7 linked regions of the Oryctolagus cuniculus genome follow. Each later gene encodes a partner of the first gene's protein in a complex. Links are inferred from orthologs where the notes say so. Each region holds a gene or a part of one and is shown in the gene's direction. Other genes may lie near its edges.

Region 1 (3,721 bases):
GTGGCACTGGTGCTATTTGAGCTGAAGCTGCTTTTAAAATCCTCGGGACAGAGCGCTCAGCTCCGTGAGTATTCCTGGCTGGGTTAGCGGTGGTGTTATCACAGAACATCGCCCATCAGGGGCAGTGGCCGTAGAACTGTAACCAATAGGATTTGGGCAGACACTACCAGTAATTTCTGAGCATTGCAAATAGTTGAGCTTTCTGGAGGATTAGTGTTGTGTTTCTTGTGTTACCCCACCTCCTGCCACCCCGGTCATTCTCCCTGGTGTGCTCTCGAAGTGCTAGCGTCGTGTCCGGAGGGTGATGCAGGAGAAGCAGTCCTTAGAGTGGCGCTTCTGGATCCCGTTAGGGCTCTGGCCTTATGACACCAGCAACCCCAGCCAGCCATCTTCTGTACATTCCGCCGTGTGGTGAGAGAGCAATGAATGGATGCATTCGGATTCCTTCTTAGCACAGTGAAATCCTCTCGGAGTACATGCTATATTGGTCAATTGTACTATTTTTTTCATTTTAAGACCAGTGGACCGGAAATTTACTACAAAGGTCTGTTTCCTGTGCTGCATCCTTGGTGAGAAATTGAGGACAGGGTGGTAGAGAGAATTGAGCAAAGCTGGCACTGGCAAGCGTTGTCTAGGCTGCAGGAGTAGATGCTGCTGGGTCTACGGATTTAGCTTCCATGATTGTTGGGTTGCATGGGTCAGAGGGACAGTGTGGTTGTGACACGTTCTTTCCCCCACGACGCAGTCAGCCATGAGCCTGGGGACCCTCCCTGCATGCGGCGATTGAACTTTGTGCGGCTACTTATGCTCTACACCCGGAAGTTTGAGTCCACGGACCCAAGGGAAGCCCTCCAGTACTTTTACTTCCTCAGGTGAAGTTTGCTTTTGACCACTTACTTCAGCCAGTGTTGATTTCTGCCATTCTGAGAAAGACTGGTAGAGACCGCCAGTCCATACCCGAGACTGAGTTGCTGTTATCCCTGTACAGGGACGAGAAAGATAGTCAAGGAGAAAACATGTTTCTGCGCTGTGTGAGCGAGCTGGTGATAGAAAGCCGAGAGGTAGGTCAGCTGCCCCTGGTTCCCCATGCCTGTCTCATGGGAATGCAGGCTCATTTACCTCAGTGTGGTTCCGCCTGAGTGGGGGTGGTTATGAAGGTTTCCTTGGTGTCTAACAATGAAAATACTGATTTCAGTCTCATGTTTCTTAGTTAACGTAAGGCTTCTCCCATCCCTCTGTTTTCTTCCCCTGTAGTCTCTGGAGAATTCTTGGTTATGTTTATATCCTTACCCAATAAATTGAATAAACTTTGTTTTCCCTCCCCAGTTTGATATGATCCTTGGGAAACTGGAGAATGATGGCAGTCGGAAGGTGAGTCAGATGTTAGAGGAGGGATAGCTCGCATTGCAGGCAGGGCAGAGAGTATAGTTGGGTTGGGTTTTAGGAGCCAGGAAACTGAAGCTCCAAAGCTGAATGAAGTTATGTAATTTAAGAAACAAATGGAGAATGAAAGTTGTAGACCTACTTGATGACTTTGATTTTATACACATGTACATAAATCTGCAATTCCATAGTTTTTTATGTTCAGATTACTCATTGGTTCATGCCTGCCATTTTGCAGGCTGAGAAGGTTACATTTCTGCCATTCTTTGGGTCAGAAGATTTGAAAAAAAAAGAAGAAGAAATTGATTATTATGCCTACTCTGCCCAGATGGAGAAGTCAGAAATGGTCTTGGTCTCCCTGGGAAGGCCATTTCTGAGTGCCCAGAACTCAATACCGACCCTGGGAATGTGGCTCCGTAAGGGAGCCTCAGCCAGTTCCTGAGCCTTGTGATGCTTACTGGGTGTCACAGGAGAAGGCGAAGAGATCCTCTTGTCAGCAGCCAGTACTGACCCCAACTCTCCCTGTGGCCTTGAGAAACCCTTGCCCCCTTGGCTGCTCACTCTTCTCATTTGTAAAAACGAGTGGCTGGCCCAGTGGTCTCCAGAAGAAGTACTGCTCCTACTGTGTGGCTCAGAAGAGGGGCCATCTCCCATGCTTCTTGGGTGGTGACAGTAGCCGGGCACCGAGCTGAAGACTTTGCATGTAGCTCCTTATTTAATTGCCACAATAACCCAGTAGGGAGGAAACTGTAATTATCTGTGTTTTCCACTTGAAGAGATGGAGACAGGGAGGTTACTCTCAGATCACACAGGTAGTAAGAAGGGGACTGGAGTCGGAACCCCGTCCTTCAGCCCCAAGAGCCTCTGCTCCTCCCTGATCTCCCAGCTGCCTCCAGAATGGCCAGGACAGGTCAGCCTGACTTGGTCCAGCACTGATGGAGAGTCAGGGATGTCACTCAGTCCACCTCTGCTCTCCCATGGTTCCTAGGGCCTCCCTTCTCTTCTGACCATTTGGTTGCTGTTGAGTGGTAAGGGAGTGGATTTTTGTGGGTTTTTTTTGGATGTCCTGATACCATTGCCATGCATTTTGTTTTTCCCCTGAGTTCTTTTGCTGTCTGTTGTAGAGAGCAAATCCTGAGTCTTGCAGATATTTTCTCCAGGCCTCTGGGTTTTTCTCTCTGGTTCCTGCTCCTCGGCAAACCTAACATCACTGATAATTTCATCTACTGGGTCGTTTTTGAAAATTAGAAAGCATGGGTGTCAGATTTCTGACTCCTCTGTGTCCAGCGAGTCTGCTCTTTGTGTGTGGTTTCATTGGTCCCTTTTGTAGTTCCAAGAGGACCTTGTATCCTCAGGAAAGCCAGGTCTAACTGATGAACATGCACTGCTCAGGGCAAGCGTTTTCAGTTAAAGTATTTTTTGGCTCGCAGTTACTTCTCAGTGCTTAAAATAATAGCTCTGTGCATCCATTTCTCTCTCTTCCTCCCCCTCCGTAATTTGTCTTGTCAGCCTGGAGTCATAGATAAGTTCACTAGTGACACAAAGCCTATTATCAACAAAGTTGCTTCCGTGGCAGAAAATAAAGGACTGTTTGAAGAAGCAGCAAAGCTTTATGACCTTGCCAAGGTAAAATGTGCCCTTTTCCTTCTTCTGCACTTGATTGATCTGTTGGCCTTTTGCCATTCAATACACAAATATTTCAGCAATGCCATTGCTGTAGCAATCTCCCTGTTGAGGCATTTTCTCCCAGCAGTTAGGCACTTAATGATCCAGGGTGAAATTCCCATTTTACAGAATTATTTTTGCCCATAAGGCATTTCTGGCCAAATAAAAGCAGCATACTGAGAGGTTGTCCTGCAGGCATTGAATTGTTGTCTCACTCAGCCTCTGAATAAGCATCCCTCACATTCCGATGGTGAAGCTGCAGTAAAAATGCCATCGCGCCTGACTTGTGGGCAGTTCCGAGACACTCTGCTGACTAGAGCGTGCTGGGGAGTAGTGCTTCAGCTGGGCCTTCTCGGGCGGCTGGGAGTGACGTGAGCACCTCAGAACACACGATGGCTGCTCACGATTATGTGATCGCATTCACCCCATTCACCTAAGAGGAGGCAAAAAGAGGGTTATCAATCATGATTTTTTAATTTATATAAACATTTTGACTGAGGTATAACTAAGAGAAAAATATGCCAGTGTTCAGGGTGTACAGCTCAGTGGGTTTTGCATAGGTATGTTGTCTATGTAACCAGCTCCCAGATGTAGAACATTTTCCTCCATTGCCTCCGAAAATTGTCTGTTTTGTTTTGATTATGTAGTTTTTCCCTTCATTGGTTATCTCTTT
Region 2 (4,398 bases), on another chromosome or scaffold:
GAGAGCTCCTATCTGATTCAATTCATAAATGCCTGCACAGGCCAGGGCTGAGCTGAAGTGGAAGCCAAGAGTAAGGAAACTCAAAGGAGCTATCCCATGTGGAGGACAGGAACTAAACTATTTGAGCCATCAGCACTGCCTCCCAGAATCTGCACTGGCAGGGAACTGGAGTCAGGAGCGGGAATGAACCCAGAGGCACTTTGGTACTGAACTCAGAAACCAAGTGGTATCTTAACTGCTAGGCCAACACCAGTCCTTACTACTACTCCACTTTACAACAGGTCAGTTATCTCTCATTCCTCGCTACCACTGAAAACTCATCTAAGCGTTAGACAAGGCTCCCTTGTTTTCATGGTCCAGGAGGGGTGGTGGTGGAGACATGTTCTGCATACTCCACTTTCTAAACACTGCTGCTGTAACTCTGTGTGAGAGCCTCAGCCACCAGAGGTCTAGTTTCTAGAACAAGCCCACCTCTGCTTCTTGTAATACCAGGTTTCTCTGGGCTAGGCCCTGGCAGGAAAAGAGCAAGAGGATGAAAACGCAGCTCTCTGACCTCCAAAAGCCCCCAGCAAAGAAAACCAGAAAATGAATAAATAACAGGATACAAAGTGACAAGGTTGTAACAGAGACCTAACCAAGCATTAGGCAGCTTGCTGGGAAAAGTCAGCAAATGCGGGGACATTTGAACCAGGCCTTTAAGAGTAAGTACGGGTTCTCAACGTTCAAATGGGACAGAAGTTCTAAGAATCCTTAGTTGTACCGGAATCTAAGGTTGGCCATTCCCTTACAGGATCTCTAATGTTCATAATGTCTATCCTAGGGATAAAAGGAAAGGGTGTGTGCTGGTGCGGGCATGGGTTAAGAGACAAGGAGGTAGGGATTTAGGGCCTCTTAGCCACAGAATAGCTTTGCGGACAGATGCACCTCCCAGGAAGAGCGGCCAGCTCCGCACGTGGTCTGTCCAGGAAGTGTGAGCAGGGCGAGGAGGAAGCCTTCCCATCACCGCCCGCGGACTGGGGCAAGAAAAGGGTAGAATAGTTACCATGCCATCCTGGGGCCTTCCCTCTGATTGGCCCCTGCGCCCGCAGCCCGAGTCTCTCCGCTCGAAGGAAGGGGGCGGAGTCTCCAAGTAGCGTCATCACTCTTCTCCCACATCCCGCCCAGTGCACACCAGTCTGGCCACTCACTAGCCCCCTTCGAGGAGCCCTGTGTGACGTCAAGACTCTCTCCCAGCCAACCGCGGCTGTGAGGGGCGGGACTCCACGTACCTCCCACAGGCCCTCCCCTTTCTCTCCCCAACTCCATTTGACCCTCCTCTTCCCCCCCCTCCCGAAGACCGCCCTCACGTTCGGTTTCAAAAGACTCAGCGCCCAATGACTAACAGGGCGAACCTAGAGTGGCGGCTGGATCTGCCAATGCGCAGGCGGCGAGGGCGGAGCGCCCGGACTGAGCCTCTGACGGCGGGCGGCGTGTGACGCAGTCGGGCCCTCTGCGCGCTGCGCCTGAAGCGGCGGTCGGGAGCGGCGGCGGCGGCGGTGGCGACGGTTTCTTGGCAGCCTCGCGCTGCTCTGTGAGCGGCGGGCGGCGGACGGGCCTGGGCCCTCACTCCGGACACTTCCCCTCCCCCCCGCAGCGCGGTAAGTCGGGGCCGGCGGCGGCGGCGGCGGCGGCGGCGGCGAGGGACCGGGCAGGCTCCTCCTCCCCTCTGGGCGGGCGGGTGCGCGGGGCGTCCCAGGCCCGCGGCGCCGAAGTCTCGCGCCCGGGCGCGCACCTTCTGACCGGCGGCAGGGGGCGGGGCCCGTTTCGCTGCGGGCCGGAGGACCGGCTCTTCGTGTCCTCGGAGGGAATCGACTTCGGAGGGGTGTAGGCCCGGGGGTCTCCAGTTGCAGCCCACGCTTGGGGAGCTTCCATCTATCTGTTCGTACTCATTCATTCGCTTGACGGTGATTAGGAGCCCTCGGGGGCCGGCCTTTGCTGGGGCAGAGCGGAGAGAGCCAGGATAAGGTGTCTGACTCACTTCCTCGACTGTCGTGCGGGGTGGGCTTTATTTGCCTTGGTTTCCCCGTAGGAGAAATGGGCAGCCCGAGAGTTAGGGTGGGTGAGTCTGAAGTTTCTAGGCTTCTAAAGACAATATACAAGAATTAGGGTCGGTGCTGTGTAGTGAAAGGGTCGTGTCTTTTTCCCACGTGTTGCGTATCCAGCCAGATTTAAAAAAATTGGATTTCTGGCTAACTGTAATCTTAAGGACCTTAGAGATTATTCAGATCAACCCCCATAGCCTGCATCACATCCAGGTTTTATAGATGGGGAAACTGAAGCCCAGAGGCGGAGACAGCATTAGCGAATGCCAGATCTCTCGACTCAGTTTCGAAATGTGTCTGTTACCCCACCCTCCCTGGATGCGTGTCCCACTCTCCCATTATTAAGGATTCTCTTGGGGGAGGGGAGCAGAGGCATTCAGTAGTTAGAAGTAGACTTACCTTCAATAGCCTGACGGCTTTAGTTGCTACCAGCTCTGTCCATGGCCAGGTAGAAGCTTCATTAGTATCTCTTAACCTAGACCGCCATTACTAAAAAGTGGGTTTGAAAATGGCAATGATGTATGTACTGGAAAGGAATCTATACCACTGGGGCACTGGGGATCGTTGTCCAGTTTCCTATTAGAAATCTGAATTTTTGTCACTGTGTGGCTGAGGATTCAGCATACGGTTACTACAACAGTACTGTTGTAGGAACCATCACAAGACTTAAAAAGCTACACAATCACTTTGTAGTTGTACCTTGGAACTCATGGTTTGGCTCAGGTGCAGAATTCAAAGTGAGGTTTTGTGGTAGGGTAAGGCAAGGAAATTAAACTCTTTTTTTGGAGAATGGAATGAATTGGAAGAACAAAAGAAACAAGCAGTGAGCATTCTCTGTTAAGAGTCTTAGAAATTGCGAAGGAAACACTAGTTAACTGGGTGGCAGACAGTATATTTGCTTGGTGAAGGAAATTAAGCTATTTTAAAAGCCAAATCAGAGGTAGAACAGGATGAATGCACTAGGAAATGCTTCGACAGAATTATTTTGACTCACTTAAGATTTGATGAAATTGAATTAGTTGCCACGGTGGTCTGTTGACATCTGTTAGAGTGGCACCTTGCTGTTGTTTAGATGACAAAGCAAAAACTGAAAACTAGTAGTGCTTAAGAGAGGAAGGGAACTGTAGTCTAAATATTAAAATGTGAACAGTATATGTTTTCTGTGACATTTCTCAGTTAAAGCATCACCCTCTTCTGGGAAGCCTTTCCTGGCATTCTCTCTTCTAAGCTTCCCTAACACTTATTTGATGCTTCTATTTATAGCACATACCATTTTGTATTTTAGCTGTTTGTGTTTCTAGTAGACCATGGTAAAATGTTTTTTTATTTTGTACTCAGGTTGTTTTGCACATAGTGGGCCCTCATTTGCATTCAAGAATAAACAAATATGGAAGAGCTAAAACTACAGATAGTCAGCAAAGAGGCTGGGTATTTGTGGGCTTCTAAAATTTGGGGACCAGATAAGGGGTCCCAATCCGTTTATGTGTTATGTGGTACTTTGGTATTTGACTTTGTTTATGTCCACAGTTCCTGGATAACTAAACGCAAATAAGATTTTTAAGGAACCAAATTCAGAGCTTGGGAACAATTGGTCATATTATTGTAATATTTATATGGAGGCGGTTAATATAGGAAGTAGAAGTAGGACTGATGTTTAATTTCCAGTAAAGAGACAACTGTAATTGTGCAATTTGTTGAAAGGTTAGAGAAATAAGAGATTTAGATTGAACATTCAGAGGCAAGGTATGAAAACATCTACTGAGCAGGGTTTCTTTGGCACTGTTGACACTTTGGGCCAGATATTTATTGTGGTGAACTCTCTTTAGTCTTGTAGGATTTTTAGCATTTTAGCATTCCTGTCCCATCATTAGATACCCCTAACACCTCTTCTCAAGTTACAATTGAGAATGTCTCAAGAAATTGTCAGTTGTCCTTGTTTGAGACTACTGCTCTAGTGAAAACATTCTTAGTATTAGTAAAATCATACATACCTCTATCTTATCTTTATAGTCAGTTAATAAATTGCATTTTGTTGGAATAATTATCTATGAAAAACCCTTCAGTTGTCAAGTTCTGTAATTGGGAAGCTGAAGAGCTAAGAGTCCTAGAGTCACTTTCTGTAGTTCCTCATTTCAGTTCTGTGGTAGCGTCCCTTTCTCTTAAATGGGAGAAATCAGGGTCTTGTTTGAAAGAGGGTAGGCTATTATGCAAATCAATATGTATCTGTATTTCTGTACAAGGGACACAAGAGCTTGTAATTTGTATTGGTGTAATTACATGTCAGCTATTGTAATTCTGCTCTCTTTCCATTTCATTC
Region 3 (3,721 bases), on another chromosome or scaffold:
CCGTGAACTGGCACTGTGTGTCAGCATTGGGAGTGGCAGCTTTATCCACTAAGGCACAACATTGGACTTGGCTTATTATCTTTTTGAATTGATCAAAGAGAATTACTGTAAATTATATTTGTAGTTATTCATTTAAGAACACCATTTTTGGACAGATTTTTAAAATTTCAGGGGCCAGTGCTGTGGCGTAGTGGGTAAAGCCGCTGCCTGCAGTGCCGGCATCCTGTATGGGTGCTGGTTTGAGTCCTGGCTGCCCCACTTCTGATCTAGCTCTCCTATGGCCTGGGAAAGTCGTAGAGGATGGCCCCTGCACCCGTGTGGGAGACCCGGAAGAAGCTCTTTCCTGGCTCCTGGCTTTGGATGGACCTGCTCTGGCCTTTGAGGCCATTTGGGGAGCGAGCCAGCAGTGGGAAGACTTCTCTCTGCCTCTGCCTCTCTGTAACTCTGTCTTTCAAATACATAAATAAATCTTAAAAAAAAATTTCAAATGTATTATTGTAGCCACCATATATTAAATGCCTTTGAGTCATGTAGTGTGCTAATAATTTTATTTATGTCTTTTTTTTTTTAAATCAACTTTAGTAGTTGGGATTTCCATTTTTCAAAAGAGGATACTGAGGTTAAATAATTAGCTAGAACTCATTTGTTAGTGTCAGAGTAGGACTTTAAGGTCCAGGTGGTCTTGTTCCATAGTGTGTATTCTACATAACTTAGGATTTACTCTCCAGGCTTAGACACTATTCTTACTGAGGCCCTGGGCTGCATCACTGTTTGCATTGCAGGTTCTCTGACTTAAAAAATATCTTTATGTGATGAAAGTCCATTTTCTTTTTTATTTTTTTTGACAGGCAGAGTGGACAGTGAGAGAGACAGAGAGAAAGGTCTTCCTTTGCCATTGGTTCACTCTCCAATGGCCGCTGTGGCTGGCGCATTGCGGCCGGCGCACCGCGCTGATCCAAAGGCAGGAGCCAGGTGCTTCTCCTGGTCTCCCATGGGGTGCAGGGCCCAAGCACTTGGGCCATCCTCCACTGTCTTCCCGGGCCACAGCAGAGAGCTGTCCTGGAAGAGGGGCAACTGGGATAGAATCTGGCACCCCGACCGGGACTAGAACCCTGTGTGCCGGTGCCACAGGTGGAGGATTAGCCTTTTGAGCCGCGGCTCTGGCCAAAAGTCCATTTTCTGTATCTTTATTATGTACTTAAATATATTTCTCCTGTGAGAAACATGAATGGGGTCTATTGACAGTTTTTACATTAGGGGATTATATGCTTAGGTATAGATAGATTAGAACTATATATCTATATGGTAGATAGTTACTCTGAGAAATGGGGTCAAATTTTGTATTGAAATGTTAAGTAGAAAAGGTAAGAATTGCATGTGTTTTCTAAAAGCTACAATTTATATTAAGTACTTGTTCTGAAGCCTTTTATACGAAGTATGGTAAATACATCAGCTGTATTGGCATCATTTGGGGACTAGTTAGACCTGTATAATCTTGGGCTCCACCTCATACCTTGTGAATTAGTACAAATTTTAAAAAGATCCCCAGGTGACTCTTATGTTTATTCAAGTTTGAAAAGCACTAGGAGACAGTTTAAGTTAGTATTCCAGAACTATATAATTAAGAATCTTAGCAGGAGATGGAAGATTCCTTTACTTTATTACCTGACTGTATTTTTGTACATTGTAGGTGGGTCACCACCACAACCAGTTGTGCCTGCTCATAAAGATAAAAGTGGAGCTCCACCAGTTAGAAGTATATATGATGACATTTCCAGCCCAGGACTTGGATCAACACCTTTAACTTCAAGAAGACAGGTGATAGACATGTCCTTATAGTTCACTTTAATTTTAAGTTTCTTTGTGGCTTAAACAGTTAGGATTAGTAATTTAAAAATTTCTTGAGATTTATTTTAGTGTAATAGTGTTACACAGAATAAGCATTAAGTGCATTTATCATAGAATCTGCTTACATTGCGTTTGTTATGAAATGTGCTTAGAAATATAATAGGACTCTACGTTGTATTCCATATAGGTAATTCTGTGATTTCTTTTATAGGTATGCTTTATCTTTTTACCTGTATGTCTCTTTAAAAATATTTCTTTATATATTTGAAAGAGTTACACAGAGAAGAGAGAGGAGAGGCAGAGAGAGGGGAAGAGGTTTTCCATCCGCTGGTTCGTTCCCCAATTGGCCACAACGGCTGGAGCTGCGCTGATCCGAAGCCAGGGGCTTCCTCTGGGTCTCCCATGCGGGTGCAGGGGCCCAAGGAGTTGGGTCATCTACTGCTTGCCCAGGCCATAGCAGAGAGCTGGATGGGAAGTGGAGCAGCCAGGACTCAAACTGGTGCCCATATGGGATGCCAGTGCTTCAGGCCAGGGCGTTAACCTGCTAAGCCACAGCGCCGGCCCCACCTGTATGTCTTTATACCTGCCTGTGCTCAACCTGCTTAATATACATGTGGAATATGATTATGTTTATTATTCTAATTGTTTAAGTCACCAAATATTTTATACATAGTTTTGTGAAAGAACAAATGAAGATTCTAGATTTTATCTTGATATAGAACACTTGGTAATGATTGAAAACTGTTTTACTAGTGGTTTTGTTAAGATCAGTATCCTTTTAGAGCTGTATTCACTGTTTACATTTTATCTTTTAACCGAAAAGAGCTGCCTCCTACATTTTTATGAGCTGAGTGTGTTAACTGGTGTAGGTGTTCTGATGATGGTATTAAGTTTTATTTTGTGTAGGTGGTCTGATAGTGTTTTTTTCCATTATGGATTATATTCCAGGTAGAGAGTATCTGTTTTGATGACGCTGACAGCAATAAGAACATATCTAATACTCAGGAAATACTTGCTATGTGCAGGCCCTGAGCTTATAACTTCTAATGTATTATTTCATTTAGTCCTCAGAATGAATCTTGTGAGTTAACTTACACGACCTTCATTTTATCACTGATGAAACTAGAGCAAGGGGAAGTTTAATTTGTCAAGGGTGGGGTAGTCAGTTTATAGCAGAGCCAGGCTTCAGACATAGACACTTTTTATTTGAGAGGCAGTGAAAGAGAGTGAGTGCACATGTGCTGGTTCTCCTCTACTGGATCAGTGTCCGGATGCCCACGACTTCTGAAGTCACGAGCGGAGAATTCAGTCCAGGTCTCCCATGTGGTTGCAGGGACTCAGTTAATTGAGCCATCGCCTGCTGCTTCCCAGGGTTTGCATTAGAAGGAAATTGGATTCAGGATCCAGAGGTGTGTTTGGAACCCAGGCACTGCCATATGGGGGCATCTCAGCTTGTCACCCTAACTGCTTAGTCTAGGCCACCTTTGTGGCAGAGTGGGTTAGGATGCCGCCTGCAGTGCTGATGTCCCGTTTAGACACCAGTTCAAGTCCTGTCTGTTCCACTTCTGATCCAACTCCCTGCTGATATTCCTGGGAAAGCAGTGGAAGATGACCTAAGGATTTGGGCTCCTGTGACCCACATGGGAGACACAGATGGAGTTCCAGGCTCCTGGCTTTGGCCTGGCCCAGTCTTGGCCAGCTGTTGTGGCCATTTGGGGAGTGAACCAGCAGATGGAAGATCGATTCTCTGTCTCTGTCTCTGTCTTTCAAATAAATAAATAAACTCTTTTAAATAAATAAATAAATCTTTAAGAAAAAAACAGAAACCTGCTTGGTCAAACTCCTGCCCCATCCCAGGCAGTCTTGAATTTAG
Region 4 (4,397 bases), on another chromosome or scaffold:
TGAATGCTAGAATTGAGAAAGGAATACAGGTGGAAAAGAGAAAAGAAATGGCATTTAATGGGCAGAACTGATAGAACTTAAGAGACTAGATACAGGGGAGAGGGCAGGGAAAGTTAAACATGAACACAAAGTTTTGAACCCAGTTCACTGCTGTAAAGAGGAAGAGGGCAAAGAGTAGACACTCCTCTTAAGATGTGCTAGGATGCCTCAGGCCTTTTGAAGCCAGAGAAACCTCTGCTCTGTCCTCTGCCTCCCCAGATAACCGCCTCAATGCCGCATGAGTAGGTGCAGCTGAGACCCGTGGAGCTGTCTAAGGAGGGCAGACTCCAGTCCTTTTGCAGTTTCAAGTCAGCCCTTACCATTACTCATGCTCCCCTGGAGATCTTCTTCCACAATTCCCGTGACTTTGCTCACAAGGGTGTCTCGGCCTGGAGTTCTCCTCCCTGACTGCCTTGAGAGTCTGTGTCAAAAAGAGTGTATTTTGAGACAAGCATGAGGAGGAACCTCCTTCACGTCGTTCAACACCCATTGTCAAGGTCTCCGACTCACTGTACCGGGCTGCTCCTGGAACCTGCTGTATTCTCTCAAACAACCAGTCTACGTGCCAGATGTCAAACCCTCTGCGACGACACTCAGCACGCCCCTTCCCCTGTCAGGGTCTCAGCTATCCTGTGAGTAAGTACAGTCCCAGCTCCCACACGAAGGTCCTGGGATCTTCCTGATGCCCTTGTTCCTAACTCAGTCTTAGGCCAGACCAGAAAACCACTGCCACTCAGACCGCCCCGCCTAGTCCTTCGCTCGCCCGCCCTGCCCTGTCGCCGATACAAAGCGGCTTCCGAAGCCTACGTGGCGACTCTTACCCTTCGGTCCGTAAATGTCCCCCGGTTGATCTCAGCTAGCCCGCCGCCGACAAGGACCGAGCTCCAGCCTAGGAAGGCCACCCTTTTTTCCCCGCCTGTGTGAGCTGAGAATCAGCCGAGCTCCTTCTACCTAGCGGATTGGCCGGGCCTAGAGTCGGCTCAGCCAGTCGGAGCTCTCAGCGTGATGTTGTCCAATGAGAGCAGGTCTCACCCTCCCAGCGCACCGCCCCCCGCCTGGGCCCGGGCTTTGTGAGGTTAGCCCTACCCACTCCAGACGTAGACCAATGGGGAGCGCTGGAGGTGAGCCGGCAGCCAACAGGGAGCTGGGCCGCGCGCGCGGGGCGGTGGGAATGGCGCCGAGTCGGTGTGTACGTAGGTTGCCGTAACAACGGGCAGCGGAGTGCGTCGGCTATGGTGAGTGCTGGCTCCCCAGTCCGGCCTTGCACCCAGGGACTGAGTCCTTCTCAGGGCTGCGGCCCCGCCACACCACACTGACTCTCTTGCTCACCTTTAGTGCACTGATCCTTCCTTTGAGCTCTTTCCCGGAAGGGTAGACACGCCAGCCACCCCGCTGGGCCTGCGCTTCGCCCTAGCCTCCCCGTCATGCACAGCGGGCCCTTACCCGTCCCTCGGGTCCCCCTGGCTTTCTCTACCCGCCTCGGGGACTTCCTAGGCAAAGAAGAGGGCCCAACCCCTCTCAGATCCTGGCCCTTTCAGATCTTGGCCTCCTCTCTCTGCCAAACTTCCCCCACCTGGGAGGAGCTTTGTTATGTTCTGATTGTTAACTTGTATTTTACAATTTAAATATGGGCATTCCGGAGATGCTTTGAGCATCTTGGGGAGGGCATGAAGGTGCCAAATAGATTGTTTTACTATTTGATATGGACAGAACACTTATCTAAACAACTTAATAATCTTTGGCCAAATCCAGAAGTAATCGGAAAGTCAGAGTACCTCTTGGGAAGCCTAGTACCGCGAGGGGTTGTTTTTGGAGCCAGGATCCCCGCGTTCAGGGAGGGCAGTACTCACTTCGAGTTATCTACAGTCACTTCCTTAGCTAACTGCCTCGGAGTGATGTATCCGAAGAACAAGGGATCTCTTTGCTTCTAACAAATACTACTAAAGAAAAGGGAGGGAGAGCGCTTCACGGGAAGTTTCATTCTTTCCAATAAACCCCATTATCTCTTGTTGAGCAGAAATTGGGAATTGGTTGGTATAAATTAGTTTTAAAAGAGATAGCAGTGTCTGTAACTATGGACTGTATTACATAATAGTGTGCTCATGTGTTCGTATAATTTCTACAGGCCTCTAACTTTAAGAAGGGAAACATAACATCTAGTTCCCAGCGGAAAAGGATGAGTCCTAAGCCTGAGCTTACTGAAGAGCAGAAACAAGAAATCAGGGAAGCTTTTGATCTCTTTGATGCTGATGGAACTGGGACCATAGATGTTAAAGAACTTAAGGTAAGCCCTGCACGTTCTTGCTATACTACCTCTGCTTCTTCCTTACCCTTTCTCTGTCACAACTCTACCCCTTTTGCCCTCTCCTTCCTGTAAAAACTAACAGGGCTGGGATTTTTGTGCTCTCTTTTCCTGTCTTTTATTATGCCAAGTGTTACTAAATAAAATTGACAACAAAGGTCAGTTACATCAATGTTTATTCTGTAGTCATTTTACCATTATTATGGTAGATGTTGGCTTAATATTCTCAACACTTATATTTGCTCCTGCTAGATTCAGATATGCATATTGAGACATTCCTGTTTCCTTACAGGTGGCAATGAGAGCCCTGGGGTTTGAACCCAAGAAAGAAGAAATCAAGAAAATGATAAGTGAAATTGATAAGGAAGGCACTGGAAAAATGAACTTTAGTGACTTTTTGACTGTGATGACTCAGAAAATGGTAAGTTAGCTGAGATAACCATTAGCATGTTTTTTACTCATAGTGATAGATAATGTCTATCTATCTAGAGTAAATGCAAAAATAATTTTAAAATAGTGATAAAGTCTATCTATCTAGTCTAGATGTGAAAATGACCTAATTGGAGAAAAATTGACAAAGATTGGAGAATTCATCTGATAAAAGATAGTATTTTTGACTGAGAATTAGCCTAAATTCTCTTTGGCTTTCTTCAAGGTCACAAACTAATGAAGTCATTTCACCCTTTGTAAAGTAGCAAAAGTGTCATTTTTCACTGTTTTTCCAACTGATATATCTGTGATAAACCCAAATAGAAAAACTGTAGACACCATTCATTTTTAAATGCAAGGTGGAGGGTTAGGGAATGAATCTAAGAAGTTGATTCCCCTGGAAGTCCCTCCTTGGCATTTGAACTAGAGCAAACTCTGAACAGGAGAACACAGCAAAATACCAGGGCTTAGCATGCCAATGTGCAGTGTCAGGTTCACTAGGTGTCTCAGCAGCTGCCTCTAATTCTGTTCTTTGTCTTCTTGGCTTGTATTGTTGTAAATGGGGGGGGGGGGAATGGGCAGTGGTGGGGCTATGGAACACGGGTAACCATGGTGTTTTCCTGATAATGCATTTTATGTTCTACTTGTTAAGTCTGAGAAAGATACCAAAGAAGAAATTCTGAAAGCTTTCAAGCTCTTCGATGATGATGAAACTGGAAAGATATCATTCAAAAATCTGAAACGCGTGGCCAAGGAGTTGGGCGAGAACCTGACAGATGAGGAGCTACAGGTTTGTCATGTGTGAGGCTGGAACGGTGAATTCCCACCGTTGAGCCCTCTGAGACTTCTCTGCTTTTGATTTTTCCCTGGTGGGAAAACCTCTTTGAATGAAAGATACTGTTCTTTGGCCCCTTTGCTAACAACGTAACTTTCCTTTGATAGTCTGACAATCCTATGACCCTGCTTCCAGAAAAATGCATGTGTGTACAGTTTTATTTACTGTTTTAGGTTTTGGGAGTCCTTCTGGTCAAGTCCTTCGAACTTCCTTCCAGGTGACATGTATGACAAAATATGACTTGGTTTTCCAATGACTCTTCAAGAGCCAAGTTATTATAATGTATCGAGTAGACTACAATTGTCTATTCAAATAGCAATGTTAAAGCCTATGATGTAGTCACCTTTTTGTTTATTTTATGAATTAATGTTCTCTGAATCTTTACTGTCATGCAGGAAATGATTGATGAAGCTGATCGAGATGGAGATGGAGAAGTCAATGAGCAAGAGTTCCTGCGCATCATGAAAAAGACCAGCCTTTACTAAGATCCATGTCGTCTTTTCTACTGCAAGCACACCTAACTAGATTTAGTGCCTGCCATTGTGTAAAATCTGGCTTTTGAGAACACAAACTATTTTCTCCTGCACTGACCTCCCTACATAATTTTAGTTATGGCCTCTAATCTATTTCAGACTTTTAAAGTGTTCTTTGATACTCAATCTCTTTGTAAAATGACCTGCTGATTACTTGAGTTCTCCAAAGCAGAATAAGAGCACATTGGAGCGGAGAAAAGGGTCTTAAAGCATTGCCCACCTTCCATTTGCCTTGCATTGCTTCGCTCTTGTCATATAT
Region 5 (4,423 bases), on another chromosome or scaffold:
GTGTGTGTGTGTGTGTGTGTGTGTGCGAGTGCAGGGGGTGGGCTGTCATCTAGATTGGAAATAAACCAGACAAACGTACCGAAGTCTCGACTCGTGTGTTTGGGGGGTGGTTTCTGTACTTTGCCAATCCAGACACGCTTGTGCGCGTGAGTGCCGACGGCGTGCCCGTGTGCCAGGCGGAGCTCCCGTTACACCTCACAGGCCCCCCCCCCCCCAAAGAGAAGCAGGCTGGGAGCAGACGAGCAATTTACTGGACACCAAGTGGCCGGACAGGCCCTGCCTGGGTCCCACCTACGGACAATTCCACAACAAATGGTTCCGGGGACGACTGGGCTGCGTTGCCAGCGCATCCAGACACAACCCGAATTCTTTTTTTCTTTTTTAAATATTTACTTATTTATCTGAGTTACACAGAGAGAGGAGAGGCAGAGAGAGAGGTCTTCTATCCGATGGTTCACTCCCCAATTGTCCACAACGGCTTGAGCTACGCCGATCAGAAGCCAGGAGCCTCCTCTGGTCCTCCCCGTGGGTTCAGGGGCACAAGCACTTTGTCTTCCACTGCTCTTCCAAGCACATTAACAGGAAGCTGGATCGGAAGTGGAACAGCCGGGACTCGAACCAGCGCCGCAGGCGGTGGCTTTACCGGCTATGCCGCAGCCCAGGCCCCAACAACCCGAATTCTCATCCTGCCTCCGCCACTCTGTGATGACACTGGTAACTCTGTGCTTCTCTCTCGTCATCCATCAAGTGACGACAATACCCCTGGGGGACTGGCGGCCAGGGCGGGTTAAGGCCAGCATCCCGCACCCAGGGTCCGGCTCGGAGTCCCGGACGCAGCTCCCCGCTAATGCGCCCGGCCAGCGGCGGAAGGTGGCCCGAACGCTTGGGCCCCCGCACCCACGAGCGGGACGCGGATGGAGTCAGGTTCCTGCTCCCGGCCTTGGCCAGGGGTTGTGGCCACCTGGAGCGTGACCCAGCCGAGGGGAGATGTCTCGCGCTGCTACTCTGCGTCTCAGCTAATTTATTTAAAAGGGGAGCGCACCCAGCGTTTTGCGCAAAGGCGGCGCACATTCCTTAGTGACCCAAAGTGGCGAAGAGAACGGCTCCGGCTCTAGCACCCGTTACCCTTGGGTGACCTCTAACCTCCCTCTCCGCCCTAGGGTCTCGAGGGGCAGGGCCGCCCCACACCCACTTTCTGCGCCTACTGCCCCGCCCCCTTGAAAACGCAAGGAAGCTACTACTAGCCACCCACATGTAAAAGTTCCTCCGAGACCTCACGGGAACAAAAGCGCATGGCGCTCAGACGCCCCGCTAACCAGACGCTACCACCAAGAAGCCCGCGCAAACCGCGAACGCCGGGCGCACCCAGAGCGCAGGCGCGCGGATCCTCATGCCCCACCCCCTTTTGAGTCGACCAATGAGGGGCGGCGTCCGGGCGAGCGCGCGACTTCAGGCGATCCCGCGGCCTTCCTCGACCGCATCGCGAACCGGGACGTGAGACGGCAGCAAAGCGCGCCGGAAGTGCGTCATCTGCTGCGCGCCGCTGGCGCGGAGGGAAGGAAATTGGCTTCGGAGCCGCCTGGGCTCTGTGGGGAAGGCCGCGGGCGGCAGCTGCAGCTTTGTAGACAAGCTGAGGGCGTCACGATGGGAGACGAGATGGATGCCATGATTCCCGAGCGGGAGATGAAGGTCAGAAACTGGCCGGGGCCGCCCTCCTTGCCTTAGTCCCGGCGTTGCCTCCGCGGCCCTAGCCCAGAACGGCGAGGCTCGGATGCCGGCTACCCCGCCTCCTGCGTGAGCAGCTGACCGCGTTCCGAGTTCTCGGCGCGCCCACGAGCGCTCTGCTGTGCGGTCGGCCTGATGGCCCCTCCGGGCGCGGTTCCGCCGTGCCGTGTCGGTCTTGTGCAGCTGCTTCTGTGGCGGTGACTTTATTGAGCGCTTGCTGTGTGCCGGGCACCGTGGTAATCTCCAGTAGTTAGGGTACAGGAGCAGGTCGAGGCTGGGGGAGTGATGTTCCCGAAGGCCCAGGGTAGCGCGGGGTCAGGTGGCCAGGGCCTGCCTGCCGTAGAGCCGGGGGACATCGTCCTAGGGAGTGCGCTCGGAGGACTGAAACCAGCCTGAAGTCTGGGCACTGAGGGGCGGGCCGAGTGGTCCGAGCGATGGGAGCCCCCCAGGAACAGCTCTCAGCGTGGCGCACCCCGCAGTTTCCACGTGCGTCCTGACAGAACGAGGATACAGAGCGCGAGCTACGGGTATTTCAGACAGCCGAGGGGGAGCAAGTAGCAGGAAGCTTTTAGCCCTGTGAACAGCAAGTCCCTGGAATGCACTTAGGGGAGAGAGAGTCTTCCATCCGCCGGTTCACTCCCCACATGGCCGCAGTGGCCGGAGCTGCGCCGATCCGGAGCCAGGAGCTTCCTCCAGGTCTCCCACGTGGGTGCAGGGGCCCAAGGACGTGGGCATCCTCCACTGCTTTCCCAGGCCACAGCAGAGAGCTGGGTGGGAAGTGGAGCAGCGGGGACTTGAACCGGCGCCCGTACGGGATGCCGGCGCTGCAGGCGGCTGCTTTACCCCAGGTTTGGCCCCGACTGTTTTCTTATTTCGCTCACACTAATGAACATCGTAGCACCACAGCTGGGACGGTTCTGCATCTCGGGGTTCTGTTTGTTTTTGCTGCACTGAAATTGAGCCTGCTGCAGTACAATGATGGATATGATTTCGTTTTCCCTGAGTTGGTTCTCGTTTTGAACTCTCCTGTGCTCCTGATCCTGACCCACTACGCACATGTCACCGAGACCCAAAGAGGTACTGGAGATGATCCAGTTGAGAATTACTGGGCCGGCGCTGCGGCACAGCGGGTGAAGCAGCCGCCTGCAGTGCCGGCATCCCACATGGGCGCTGGTTCAAGTCCCGGCTGCTCCAGCTCCCATCCAGCTCCCTGTTAATGTGCTTGGAAAGTCTCGGAGGGTGGCCCAAGGCCTTGGGCCCCTCCCTCCCCTGTGGGAGATCTGGAAGAAGCTCCTGGCTCCTGGCTTCAGCCTGGCCCAGCCTTGACTGTTGCGGCCATCTGGAGAGTGAACCAGTGGATGGAAGACCTCTCTCTGTCTCTCAGTGTCTATCCTGTCTAACTGCCTTTTGAATAAATGAAAGAAAAAAAAAAACAAAGATAAGAATTACAAAAAAGACTGAAAAACTTACTCTCCTGTATGAAACCATAATACAGGCTTACCTGGAAAACTGAATTTTTGCTACTGTAAATCAGTTGGGATTAAAAGTATGAGGGTCTCCAGAAATTTCATGAAAAACAGTTATGAAAAAACTGCATGGATTTTGAAATTTCTTTTGGACTAAAATCTTTTAGTTCTTTTTTCCATGAACTTTGTGAAGTCCTCATATTTGCCTTCTAGCAAATATGTATAAACATCAAACTTAGTCTGTGGGCTGTGTTAAGAATCCTGTATGAAACAACACTAGGAATCTAGTGTGGGGCTGGCGCTGTGGCACAGCAGTAAAGCCACTGCATGTGAAGCCAGCATCCCATATGGGCGCCAGTTCATGTCCCGGCTGCTCCATTTCCTATCCAGCTCCCTGCTATGGCCTGGGAAAAACAGGAAGATGGCCCAAGTCCTTGGGCCCCTGCACCCACCTGGGAGACTGGAAGAAGCTCCTGGCTCCTGGCTTAGGCCTGGCCCAGCCCTGGCTGTTGTAGCCGTCTGGGGAGTGAACCAGCAGATGGAAGACCTCGCTTTTTCTGTCACGCCTTCTCTCTAACTCTGACTTTAAAACAAACAAATAAACAAATCTTAAAAAAAAGAATCTAATGTAGAAGAACGAAGCCCAGGAAAACTCTTTGGCTTTCATATTTTTGGGAACACCAGCGCAGAGTGGATTCGCATTTTTTTTTCCCCCGTTTTGTGTGTTTAATGACACCTGGCCGTGCGCTTCTGCAGTGGGGACAGCTGCTCCCCTGCCGCTTCTTGGTCTCAGATTCTCCTCATACTTGCTGAGCTGGCGGTGCACGGCGCGTGTCCAGGGGTCGCAGGTCCAGGGGCTCCTACTTGCCCTTGTGGAATTTCCTGAGGTTCTTCTGGGTGTGGTTCATGACGGTGAGAACACGGGGATGGCTTTGGAGAGCTTGGACGCCGCGCACCTGTCACTTTGGTGACCTGCGGGTCCTCCGCTGTTTCAGCAGTGTCGCCTTCTTGCCTCGAAGGTCCCGAGCCTTGATCTCGGCCGTGACTGCACAAGCCCCACCCCTGCCGCTGCTCTCAGGGAAAGAGGAAGAGAAGGGCTGACCTCCGCAACTGCTTCCGGGTGGCCCTCATTCTTTTCTCTAAACTCTGACCTGAAGATAGGTTTAGAGTTGAAGAAAAGATAGCCTGTGTGTAGCACATCTGACCTTAGTGATGGGTAAACTTTTCCCAAG
Region 6 (4,323 bases), on another chromosome or scaffold:
GCCGGGACTTCAACCGGTGCCCATATGGGATGTCGGCGCTTCAGGCCAAGGCTTTAACCCACTTCACCACAGTGCTGCCCCCCCGCCCCATTTCCTTTCTAGCTGTTGGCCAGAGGTCATCTCAACTTTTAGAAGCAGTCCATATCTGATTCTATAGATTTCCTGTGCAAATTATTTCTGTGAAATCCATTTTGCTATTATTATATCTTATAATCATTGTTCTCTCAAATGTGATGATCAGCTACTTACTGAATTCTTTTTATCAATTCCAATAGCTTCTTTGGTATTCTTGGATTTTCCAGGTGTTATATAATTCATACACAATGTTAATTTCATGTGGCACTTCTTCCCCTTGTTTTATTGCATCATTCATGAGAATTTCAAGGATAATATTGATAACCATTTTAATGGTTTCTGTGGCAGACTTGCTAATCCCATTTTATGTTTAGTAACAGATGGTATGACCTCATGTTTTATCAGGGAACATGGCATCCAAACTAGAGAGCTCTTCTCAGCCTCCCTTACAGCAAGCAAGTAGTGGCCATGTCACTAGTTTCCACGGCTTAAATGTGAAGAGAAGTGATGCGTGTGACTTCCCTATCATTCCCTTAACAGGGTATGGCACTGACGACATTTGACCTTAACAAGTAAAAACACATTTTCCCAAATTACTTGTCCACAGTGTCATTCTCTATGAAATGACCATAAGCATCTCACAAAACTCTAGTGTTCCGGGGATCAAGGTTGAGAAACCCTAATGTTCCATTCTAAGTGTGTTATTCAGCATGGTAAAAAAAAAAAAAAAAAAAAAAAAAAAAGCACTGTCCATACCTGCTTTATTAATATGTATCTTAGAATGAGTAAGGGATATTTTGTCCTTGAGATCATCTCGGTTATCTAGCATTATGATTATTTAATAGATTTATATGTTGAATTCTTCATAAACACACTCTATTTAATGATAGCGAACTGTGTCGTTAAGAGGACACCAAACGTTTTGCTAACATCTAGGACCCAAAGGAACATCAACTGCAGCCAGCCACTGGGGACACAATGAATGACGTGCATAAACTCGGTCGCAAGTGAGCCTGCGTAGGATGCTGAGGGTTGGGTTGGCCGCAAAAATTAAGCTCACGTCTCTGAGAGCACCTGCACCGGTCTCCTCCCCGCCATTCCCTACCTGGGAGCTGTCCACACGCCGGCCCGCAAAGGATTCGGGGAAAAAGCAGCTGGCCAATCTAAGGGGCCGGAGGGCACGGGAGAGGCGGGCACAAACGCTCCTTTGACTGACGCTAAAGCCATCCAATGAAAATAGGGCGTAGTGCCGAGCGGGGCACAACCTTAGCGGGTTTCGACCAATCCCGCTCAGAAGTGTCTGTCTTCTGGGCGGGGCTGGTGGTGGCAGCGGCCGTTCGCGTCTGTTGAACGGCTTGTGGGAGTCCTGCTGCTTCGGGCCAGGGCATAAAGTCTCTGAGAGGAACGTGTCTGTCCGGGGAGGAAAATGAGTTTAGCTCTGAGGTCGGTAGTCGTGAGGCGGCCGCGCTCCCCACGCCGCGGAGCGGGCCCCGGGCGTGCTCGCGTGCGTGTGTGGGTGTGGAAGGGAGGCCGTTGGGGCCGAGGTGAGGAGGGGGCTCGCCGGCCTGCCAGCCCCCAGCCCCCCGGGAGTGCAGAGCCCTGCAGGTGACCGGCCCGGCGCTCGCTGCCGAGGTGGTCGCCTGTGGCCGCGCACGGGGCTTTCGGCCTAGGGGGGTGGGCCGCGGGCGTGCGGTGCTGCGACCCCGCCCACCTGGCCCCCGCACCGCTGCCCACGGAGTCGCTCGCCCGTGTGCCCCCGGCCCCGCCGAATCGGAGACCCGCCCGGAGTCGGTGTCTTCTGTCCCGACCCTAGCCCTCGGTCTGTGCCCCACCCCACCCCCCGTGTCAGATAGCCTTGAAGGCAGGTGCTCAGAGACTGTGTTCCGCCACGGGTGGCCCTGGCTGCGGTCAGGTGTGGGCGGGGTCCGGACTTGCCCGCGGGCAGTCCGGGCAGGGGAATGGCTGACCCCGGCTGTGCCCAGGTGTGTGTCCACTCGGGTCTCTTGGGGAAGGTCTTCCTCAGCTCTGACGTACTGCACCTGCTGTCATTTGGTAGCCATCCCTATTGCCTTTTTTTCCCCCTTAAGATTTCAGAAACCAAAATAAGTTTTTTGTTTGTTTGTTTTTTTTTTTTTTTTAAAGATTTATTTATTTGAAAGGCAGAGTGAGTGACAGAAAGAGACAGGGAAAGAGATCTTGGATCCGCTGGTTCAGTCCTCAAAGGGCGTCCATGGTTGGGGTTGGCACAGGGGGGAGCCAGGAGCCCTGAACATGGCAGTTCACCTGAACATGCCACCCTCCTGGGTGGCAGGGGCTCAAGCTTTGGGGCCATCTTCCGCTGCCTTCCCGGGGAGCAGCTGGGACTCAGGGTTTGTGTTCCTTGGACCTGAGAGGCAGCCCTACCTGCTGGGCCACGATGCTGCCCGCCCCCCCCCATGGCTTTCACATGCAAATAAGATGATCTGTTATGAGACAATCAACTGGTTTTACATTTAGAATTTTTAAAACGTGTTCTTACAGAATTGGTGTTCTCATTTGAAACTCTGAAGCACTTCTACATCTGTCTCAGATGGAAGACATTCCTAACTTCCAAATAATTTTGCTTTTCATTTTCTTTACTCTTTTCCAGAGTTATGAGAAGTTTGACCTATAGTTTATAAGTTAAATGAGACAAGAATTTTCACATTTTTTGGAAGTAAGCACAAATGCTACATACCACTTTTTGATCTTTTAACATTCATGATATATTTAGACTCACTGCTTTGTTGGCTGACATGTTAATATTGATGGAAGAAACTACAAACAAAGTACCTAGATGTGATCCAAAATAGTTTTGAACTTACAATGCCAAAATATAGGTTAATTGATAAATTATTTGGCACTTTTTTGTAGTAATCTTGAAAACTTAATTACAAGAAATATACTGAAGTATAATAAATATTTATGTTGATTGTCAATTATGAATTCTACTTTGATTTGGATTTTTTTCCACTTTTGCAGAATGATATAAGTGTTGATTTGGTTTTGATTGAGGTTTTTGGTCTGAAAGTAATATTTCTGACCATTCTTTTTTTTTAAGGTTTTTTATTTATTTATTTGAGAGGTAGAATTATAGACAGTGAGAAGGAGAGACAAAGATCTTCCGTCTGTTGGTTCACTCCCCAGTGGCCGCAACGGCTGGAGCTGTGCTGATCTGAAGCCAGGAGTCTGGTGCTTCTTCCTGGTCTCCCATGTGGGTACAGGGGCCCAAGGACTTGGGCCATCTTTTACTGCTTTCCCAGGCCACAGCAGAGAGCTGGATTGGAAGAGGAGCAGCTGGGACTAGAACCAGTGCCCATAAGGGATGTTCGCACCACAGGTGGAGGATTAACCTACTGCGCCATAGTGCCAGCCTCCTCTGACCATTCTTGTTTCTGAGTTGGGAGGAGGGAAGGTTTGGTTCCCCCCCCCCCCCCTTTTTTTGAAACGTATATGAAAGAGTGACAGAGACAAAGTCAGAGAAATCTTCCATCTCTGAATGGCCGCTATGGCTGAGGCTGGGCCAGGCTGAAGCTAGTAGCCAAGAACTCCATTCAGGTCTCCCATTTGGGTGATTGAACCAACCACTTGAGCCATGCCATAGTTGTCTGCCTTCCCAGGTGCATTAGCAGAGAGCTGATTGGAAGTGAAGCAGCTGGGACCTGAACTGGCACTCATGTGCGATGCCAGTGTGGCAGGTGGTGGCTTAATCCATTGCATTGTGACAGTGGCCCTTGTTCCCCATTTCTGTCAGAGTTTCGGCTTCATACTGGGAAGTGTACATTCATAGAACTGTGGACTATGGAACAAGCAGGATGTCAACTCATACAGAAAAAATACTTTATCTTTCTTCAACATATTTCCTTTTTGGAAATTTAGAAAGTTGTTGATTGTTTAGTTTGCATAAGAGAATACGATTAGAGTGGACTAATGACTTTTTTGTTTCCATTTTATAGAAGTGAGCTTGTAGTAGACAAAACAAAGAGAAAAAAAAGAAGAGAGCTCTCTGAGGAACAGAAACAAGAAATTAAAGATGCCTTTGAACTTTTTGATACAGACAAAGATGATGCAATAGATTATCATGAACTAAAGGTAAAGTATAAAGTATATATTTATCTGTTAAAGTGATTTGCATTTTTGACAGCTTTAAAATACATTTATTTTATTTATTTTATTTTTTTGACAGGCAGAGTGGACAGTGAGAGACAGAGACAGAGAGAAAGGTCTTCC
Region 7 (4,339 bases), on another chromosome or scaffold:
TCCTGGAGACAGTCTGGCTCTCCCCAGGGGCTCAGCCTCTTCCTCTTCCAGTTTTGGGTGAAAGATGGCAACCACCCTGAAAATGTGACTTAAAACCACAAGGTCACACATGCAGCACATGAAGCTATTCATGGGGGAGATGCCGGCTGGTCTGGAAACAAGCGTTTTAGCCACAGCTTGGCAGCCTGCTGGTGAAGGACATTCTACCTGCGTCTGAGGGGCCCTCACACCCCCAGCCCCACTGGATAGCCTCAAACTCATCTAAGTTTAATTATCCTCCAGGGCCCCATGGTTGGGGGGGCAGGTAGGACTTCAACATATGCATGTGGGGAGGGTTATAATTGAGTCCTTAGCCCCTGGCAACCTACAAGCTCAGCAGCAACCACTGTTGAACCTAGGGGAGCACCCGATGTGCCATTATCAAGATCGCTCCTGTTGAGGTCGTCTTTGGAGCTATGGGGTTTTGGTCAAGGCACTGCCCTGGCGGGAATTACGTTTTAGGAGAACACACCCTGGCGTTGCTCACAGGATGGATTTTCCTGAAAGAGACCATAGGCAGGGAAAGCAATCGAGAGACTCCCTCACTCATCTCCGACATAAAAAAAAATGCAGACCCACATTATGACGGTAGCCTCGCAAGGCATCCAAGGCAGAACGCCCTTCCTGATGCTTCCGCCAAATGGGATCTCTTCTAACTGTGCGGTGTTCTAATGCAGCTCATGGAACCCTCACATTTCATTTCACCGCACAGAGTACTGAGTGTCATACCGGAAATAAAAATTCCCTTCCACTTGGCAGTTCCCGGGCTCCAGCACCGGGTGTGGGCGCCGCGCACTGCCGCGACGCAGCAGCCGAGGGGGACCCCGCGTCCCGCACTCCTTCGCCTTGGGTCCTGTTTCTTCACTCAGCCACAAGCTAGGCGATCGGGGGCCCGCCGGACTCGGCCCCCGGGGACGCCGTAGCCACCGCCGAGCGCCCCGGCTCGCGCGCCGGACGCTCCTCAGGAGTCGCTCCCCGGACGGCGCGGCGGCCTCCGCAAGTACCGGAGCGCAGAGAACGGCCCACGTCGTGGGACCAAGGAAGGAACTGTTAGCGACTGAGTTCCCAGCCGTCAGGAAGCTGACCAGCTCCGCTTCTTTCTCGGGGCTGTGGCAGCCGCGCCCCGAAGCCGGACCCGCAAGATGCCCTAATCCTGGGATTCTGCGCCATGTTTGGCAGGAGGCAGGCTAGAAGCAGTAGAACTGAGAGTCATCAGCCATAAAGTATAGATTTCGTCAGCACGAATACAAAGACAGAACTAAAAAAGAGAGAGAAATGGTTTTGTAACGTGTGGTGTGATTTTTTTTTTTTTAACTCTAGGCGCCTACCCCTTTAAGAGAGCCGGCGGTGCCCCCACCCCACCGCATCCCAGGGTGCCTCGCGCGGCGCGTCCAACCCGCTCCCGTCCCAGGGTTCCCTGCCCGCGGCGCGCTCGCTTCCGGCGGCTACGAGCGCGCGGCGAGCGTCCGGCGTGCTCTGGCGTGCCTGCCCCACCCCCCTCGGCCTCGGTCTCGCAGTGGCTGGGCTTGAAGTTCCCGCCAGGTCAGGGCTGGGCAAAAACGATGCTGCCTGGCCCGCCCTGGCTTTGAGACTGAGAAAAACGCCCATCTCGAGCTTGCTGACAGCTTCCAGCCCCGGCAGCCATGTCCACAGGGTTCTCCTTCGGGTCGGGGACGCTGGGCTCCACCACCGTAGCGGCCGGCGGGACCAGCACCGGCGGCGGTTTCACCTTCGGCACCGGGGCGTCTAGGTAACCGCGCTTTCTCGCCTGCCCGGACCCGGCCCTCGTCCGCAAGGCTCCCTGGTGCCCCTACCCTCTCTCTCTCTCTCGGGTAGGCCTGGAGACGAGCATTTGCTGAGCCGGAGGCCTCCCGCTCCCCCACGCGCCCGGGCCGTGCTGGCGGCTGTGGTGGGGAGGACCCCAGACTCCGCGTTTGGGTCATTGTTCCTACTGCGTGGAGTCTCATTCCCGAGCTTCAGCGGTGTCAGTCTTAGGTGTGGGAAGAATGTTGAGCGAATGAATGAAATGGTTGCATATTGTGGGGTTTTACAGACCAACAGCTAGTAGAAAATCTGAAGGACAAATAATAGCTTTTTTTCCCCCTGATAATTCGGATTCCATTGTGTTTTACGGTTTTGAACATGACCGTGTGTTGCAGATCTCTTAGTTATTTTTACGGAGCTCTCAGACCTTCGTGCCACATGGGAGCCTGTCTGTCTGGTTTGTTTTGTTTTAAACAAACAGCTTGAACAGCGTGTATTGTGGTAACTTCCTGCCGAATGGGCACGTTCGTGTGTCCTAGGTCCGAATGTTGTGTTGTGAGGAATCACATTGCTACCTAAATTACCAAATGTAGAGATAGCCTGTTCATCCGTTTTGCGCATCCTGCTAGTTCAAGTGGTGACAGAAGTAACTAGCGGAGGTCCAGAAACAGACTGGTGAGAGATCATTACGAGAGACTTAATCTTTACGACTCTTGTCTTTTGACAAGAGGAGCTCAGAAAATCGAGAAGGGTGCATCCCATGGGCAAGATGGCTCCTGAGGCTTGTAGGAGGTCACTGTAGATTAAAAAGGCACATATATCGTCTGCAATGCTTGTGTTTTAAAAGGGGAGGGGAGAGGAAGGGCGGACTGCACAGTCCCGGCCGAAATCTGTTTCGCTCTTCACACTTAATCCGCAAGCCCTGATCATCCTCTGCATGTGCCACCCGTGTCCGTTTCCGTGCCACCACACCTGGCTTCAAGCTGTTGTAATTTATGTAGGTTAAATTCCTGCTTGTTAGGCTCTGTTTTTGAAGGTGGGATAAATGAGAGACCTGCCCTCCTGACACATTCCTGGGAAAATAGTGATTCTTGTTAAGCTTACAACCTGCCGTCTTGTGAGGGACGAAAACTGCTCCCGTAAAGCCGTGCGTAGATCAGTTCAGGGGACTAACTGCCGTCTCAGAACCCGCTGTTACAGTAATCTTTCTAACACATTGGTAGATGTTGTAAAAACGTCCATTGCTTCACATTTCGATCATTTCCCACTGGCTTAAAAAGAAGTAACAAATGAAAACATTTTCCCAGTGGTTCCCCAGGCCCACTATATTCTAGAACTTCTCCAGCTCATCTTGGGTCTTGTCATTTCCACTGTTAAAGGTAACATTGACAGCCGGCGCCGCTGCTCACTAGGCTAATCCTCCGCCTTGCGGCGCCGGCACACCAGGTTCTAGTCCCCGTCGGGGCGCCGGATTCTGTCCCGGTTGCCCCTCTTTCAGGCCAGCTCTCTGCTGTGGCCAGGGAGTGCAGTGGAGGATGGCCCAAGTGCTTGGGCCCTGCACCCGCATGGGAGACCAGGATAAGTACCTGGCTCCTGCCTTCGGATCATCGCGATGCGCCAGCCGTAGCACGCTGGCCGCAGCGGCCATTGGAGGGTGAACCAACGGCAAAGGAAGACCTTTCTCTCTGTCTCTCTCTTACTGTCCACTCTGCCTGTCAAACAACAACAACAACAAAAAGGTAACATTGACATTACCAGCCAGTAGGTGCCCAAGAATAAATACTTGAAACAAAGTTTCAGAGAAAGAAACTAAACCCTTGCTTGATGTTGATATTTTCTGTTCTGTTCCATTTCCTTTAAGAAAATGCTGCTTGTGACTTGCTATACTCCGCCCCTAGAGCACTCATCACAGTTGTAATCAGTTCATTATGTTTGTTGTTTTCTTGTTTGGTGTCTGATCCCAGTTCTAAAGCATAAGTTCCTTGATGCTAGAGACCTTTTCATAGTGTTTTTCCAGTAAACACAGTGACTGGAGCTTGAATAAATGAGCACTTAGCATCTGTACCTCCTCCTGACGAAACCTCCTGAGGGCAGGATCTGGGCCTTGATTTACACTCCATCCTCAGTCCTTTGGACAGTGCCTGGCATAGAAAAGGGGCTTTCATAAATACTGGTTCAATGACTGAGTTATTAGCAACAGACTCAAAAATGTACTCAAGCTGTCGAAAGGCTTGTATAAATTAATGAAAGGAGACAGTCTAACAGCTGCTTATTAAAGTGCTGCTGGAAGGCCTGATGGCCTCGTGCCTCCTGGGGACTTGGTCTCTCAAGGTACATCAGTGTGAGAGTGTTGCTTCCCAAGCTTCAGATCCCACGTCTGGAAGAGGGCTATGCTAACATTCATCTCAGAGTTGTTGAATGAGAAGAAATGAAGCAAGCAAGGTATTTAGCATCATGTCTGCCACTTGCTCACTGCTTTTGTGTGTTAGCTCCCAGGCCCACATTAAAGCCAACTGGGGTGACAATGCTTACATGA

Evidence for each region.
Region 2: NUP93 (region 1) and NUP98 share a complex: the UniProt entries of both Homo sapiens proteins name them as parts of the nuclear pore complex. The link is inferred for Oryctolagus cuniculus from reciprocal best matches to the Homo sapiens genes NUP93 and NUP98.
Region 3: the proteins of NUP93 (region 1) and NUP35 are in contact, whole or in part, in a crystal structure (PDB 7MW1), measured with the Homo sapiens proteins. The link is inferred for Oryctolagus cuniculus from reciprocal best matches to the Homo sapiens genes NUP93 and NUP35. Residues at the interface, in NP_055484.3 of Homo sapiens: Tyr266, Tyr269, Asn402, Ala407, Asp408, Lys409, Thr410, Glu411, Tyr413, Tyr448, His452, Phe453, Val455, Asn456, Leu461; in NP_612142.2 of Homo sapiens: Ala88, Pro89, Pro90, Val91, Arg92, Ser93, Ile94, Tyr95.
Region 4: NUP93 (region 1) and CETN2 share a complex: the UniProt entries of both Homo sapiens proteins name them as parts of the nuclear pore complex. The link is inferred for Oryctolagus cuniculus from reciprocal best matches to the Homo sapiens genes NUP93 and CETN2.
Region 5: NUP93 (region 1) and NUP214 share a complex: the UniProt entries of both Homo sapiens proteins name them as parts of the nuclear pore complex. The link is inferred for Oryctolagus cuniculus from reciprocal best matches to the Homo sapiens genes NUP93 and NUP214.
Region 6: NUP93 (region 1) and CETN3 share a complex: the UniProt entries of both Homo sapiens proteins name them as parts of the nuclear pore complex. The link is inferred for Oryctolagus cuniculus from reciprocal best matches to the Homo sapiens genes NUP93 and CETN3.
Region 7: NUP93 (region 1) and NUP58 share a complex: the UniProt entries of both Homo sapiens proteins name them as parts of the p62 complex. The link is inferred for Oryctolagus cuniculus from reciprocal best matches to the Homo sapiens genes NUP93 and NUP58.

What each region holds. Positions count from the first base shown.
Region 1 is NC_091449.1:40,509,407-40,513,127, forward strand, and holds part of NUP93 (nuclear pore complex protein Nup93), read left to right. Parts: coding exon 1-64; intron 65-745; coding exon 746-872; intron 873-988; coding exon 989-1,061; intron 1,062-1,326; coding exon 1,327-1,371; intron 1,372-2,892; coding exon 2,893-3,009; intron 3,010-3,721. UniProt on the Homo sapiens protein: Plays a role in the nuclear pore complex (NPC) assembly and/or maintenance. May anchor nucleoporins, but not NUP153 and TPR, to the NPC. During renal development, regulates podocyte migration and proliferation through SMAD4 signaling.
Region 2 is NC_091432.1:63,101,586-63,105,983, forward strand, and holds the start of NUP98 (nuclear pore complex protein Nup98-Nup96), read left to right. Parts: upstream 1-1,480; 5' UTR 1,481-1,637; intron 1,638-1,786; exon of another isoform or gene 1,787-2,004; intron 2,005-4,398. Other genes in the region: PGAP2 (post-GPI attachment to proteins factor 2), read right to left, coding at 1,043-1,139. UniProt on the Homo sapiens protein: Plays a role in the nuclear pore complex (NPC) assembly and/or maintenance. NUP98 and NUP96 are involved in the bidirectional transport across the NPC. May anchor NUP153 and TPR to the NPC.
Region 3 is NC_091434.1:57,515,148-57,518,868, reverse strand, and holds part of NUP35 (nucleoporin NUP35), read left to right. Parts: intron 1-1,690; coding exon 1,691-1,818; intron 1,819-3,721. UniProt on the Homo sapiens protein: Functions as a component of the nuclear pore complex (NPC).
Region 4 is NC_091453.1:131,267,292-131,271,688, reverse strand, and holds the start of CETN2 (centrin-2), read left to right. Parts: upstream 1-1,491; 5' UTR 1,492-1,706; coding exon 1,707-1,712; exon of another isoform or gene 1,713-2,069; intron 2,070-2,164; coding exon 2,165-2,323; intron 2,324-2,633; coding exon 2,634-2,762; intron 2,763-3,422; coding exon 3,423-3,560; intron 3,561-4,000; coding exon 4,001-4,090; 3' UTR 4,091-4,397. UniProt on the Homo sapiens protein: Plays a fundamental role in microtubule organizing center structure and function. Required for centriole duplication and correct spindle formation. Has a role in regulating cytokinesis and genome stability via cooperation with CALM1 and CCP110.
Region 5 is NC_091432.1:233,660,687-233,665,109, forward strand, and holds the start of NUP214 (nuclear pore complex protein Nup214), read left to right. Parts: upstream 1-1,556; 5' UTR 1,557-1,644; coding exon 1,645-1,689; intron 1,690-4,423. UniProt on the Homo sapiens protein: Part of the nuclear pore complex. Has a critical role in nucleocytoplasmic transport.
Region 6 is NC_091445.1:13,137,484-13,141,806, reverse strand, and holds the start of CETN3 (centrin-3), read left to right. Parts: upstream 1-1,358; 5' UTR 1,359-1,501; coding exon 1,502-1,518; intron 1,519-4,049; coding exon 4,050-4,185; intron 4,186-4,323. UniProt on the Homo sapiens protein: Plays a fundamental role in microtubule-organizing center structure and function. As a component of the TREX-2 complex, involved in the export of mRNAs to the cytoplasm through the nuclear pores.
Region 7 is NC_091440.1:95,323,590-95,327,928, forward strand, and holds the start of NUP58 (nucleoporin p58/p45), read left to right. Parts: upstream 1-1,439; 5' UTR 1,440-1,682; coding exon 1,683-1,789; intron 1,790-4,339. UniProt on the Homo sapiens protein: Component of the nuclear pore complex, a complex required for the trafficking across the nuclear membrane.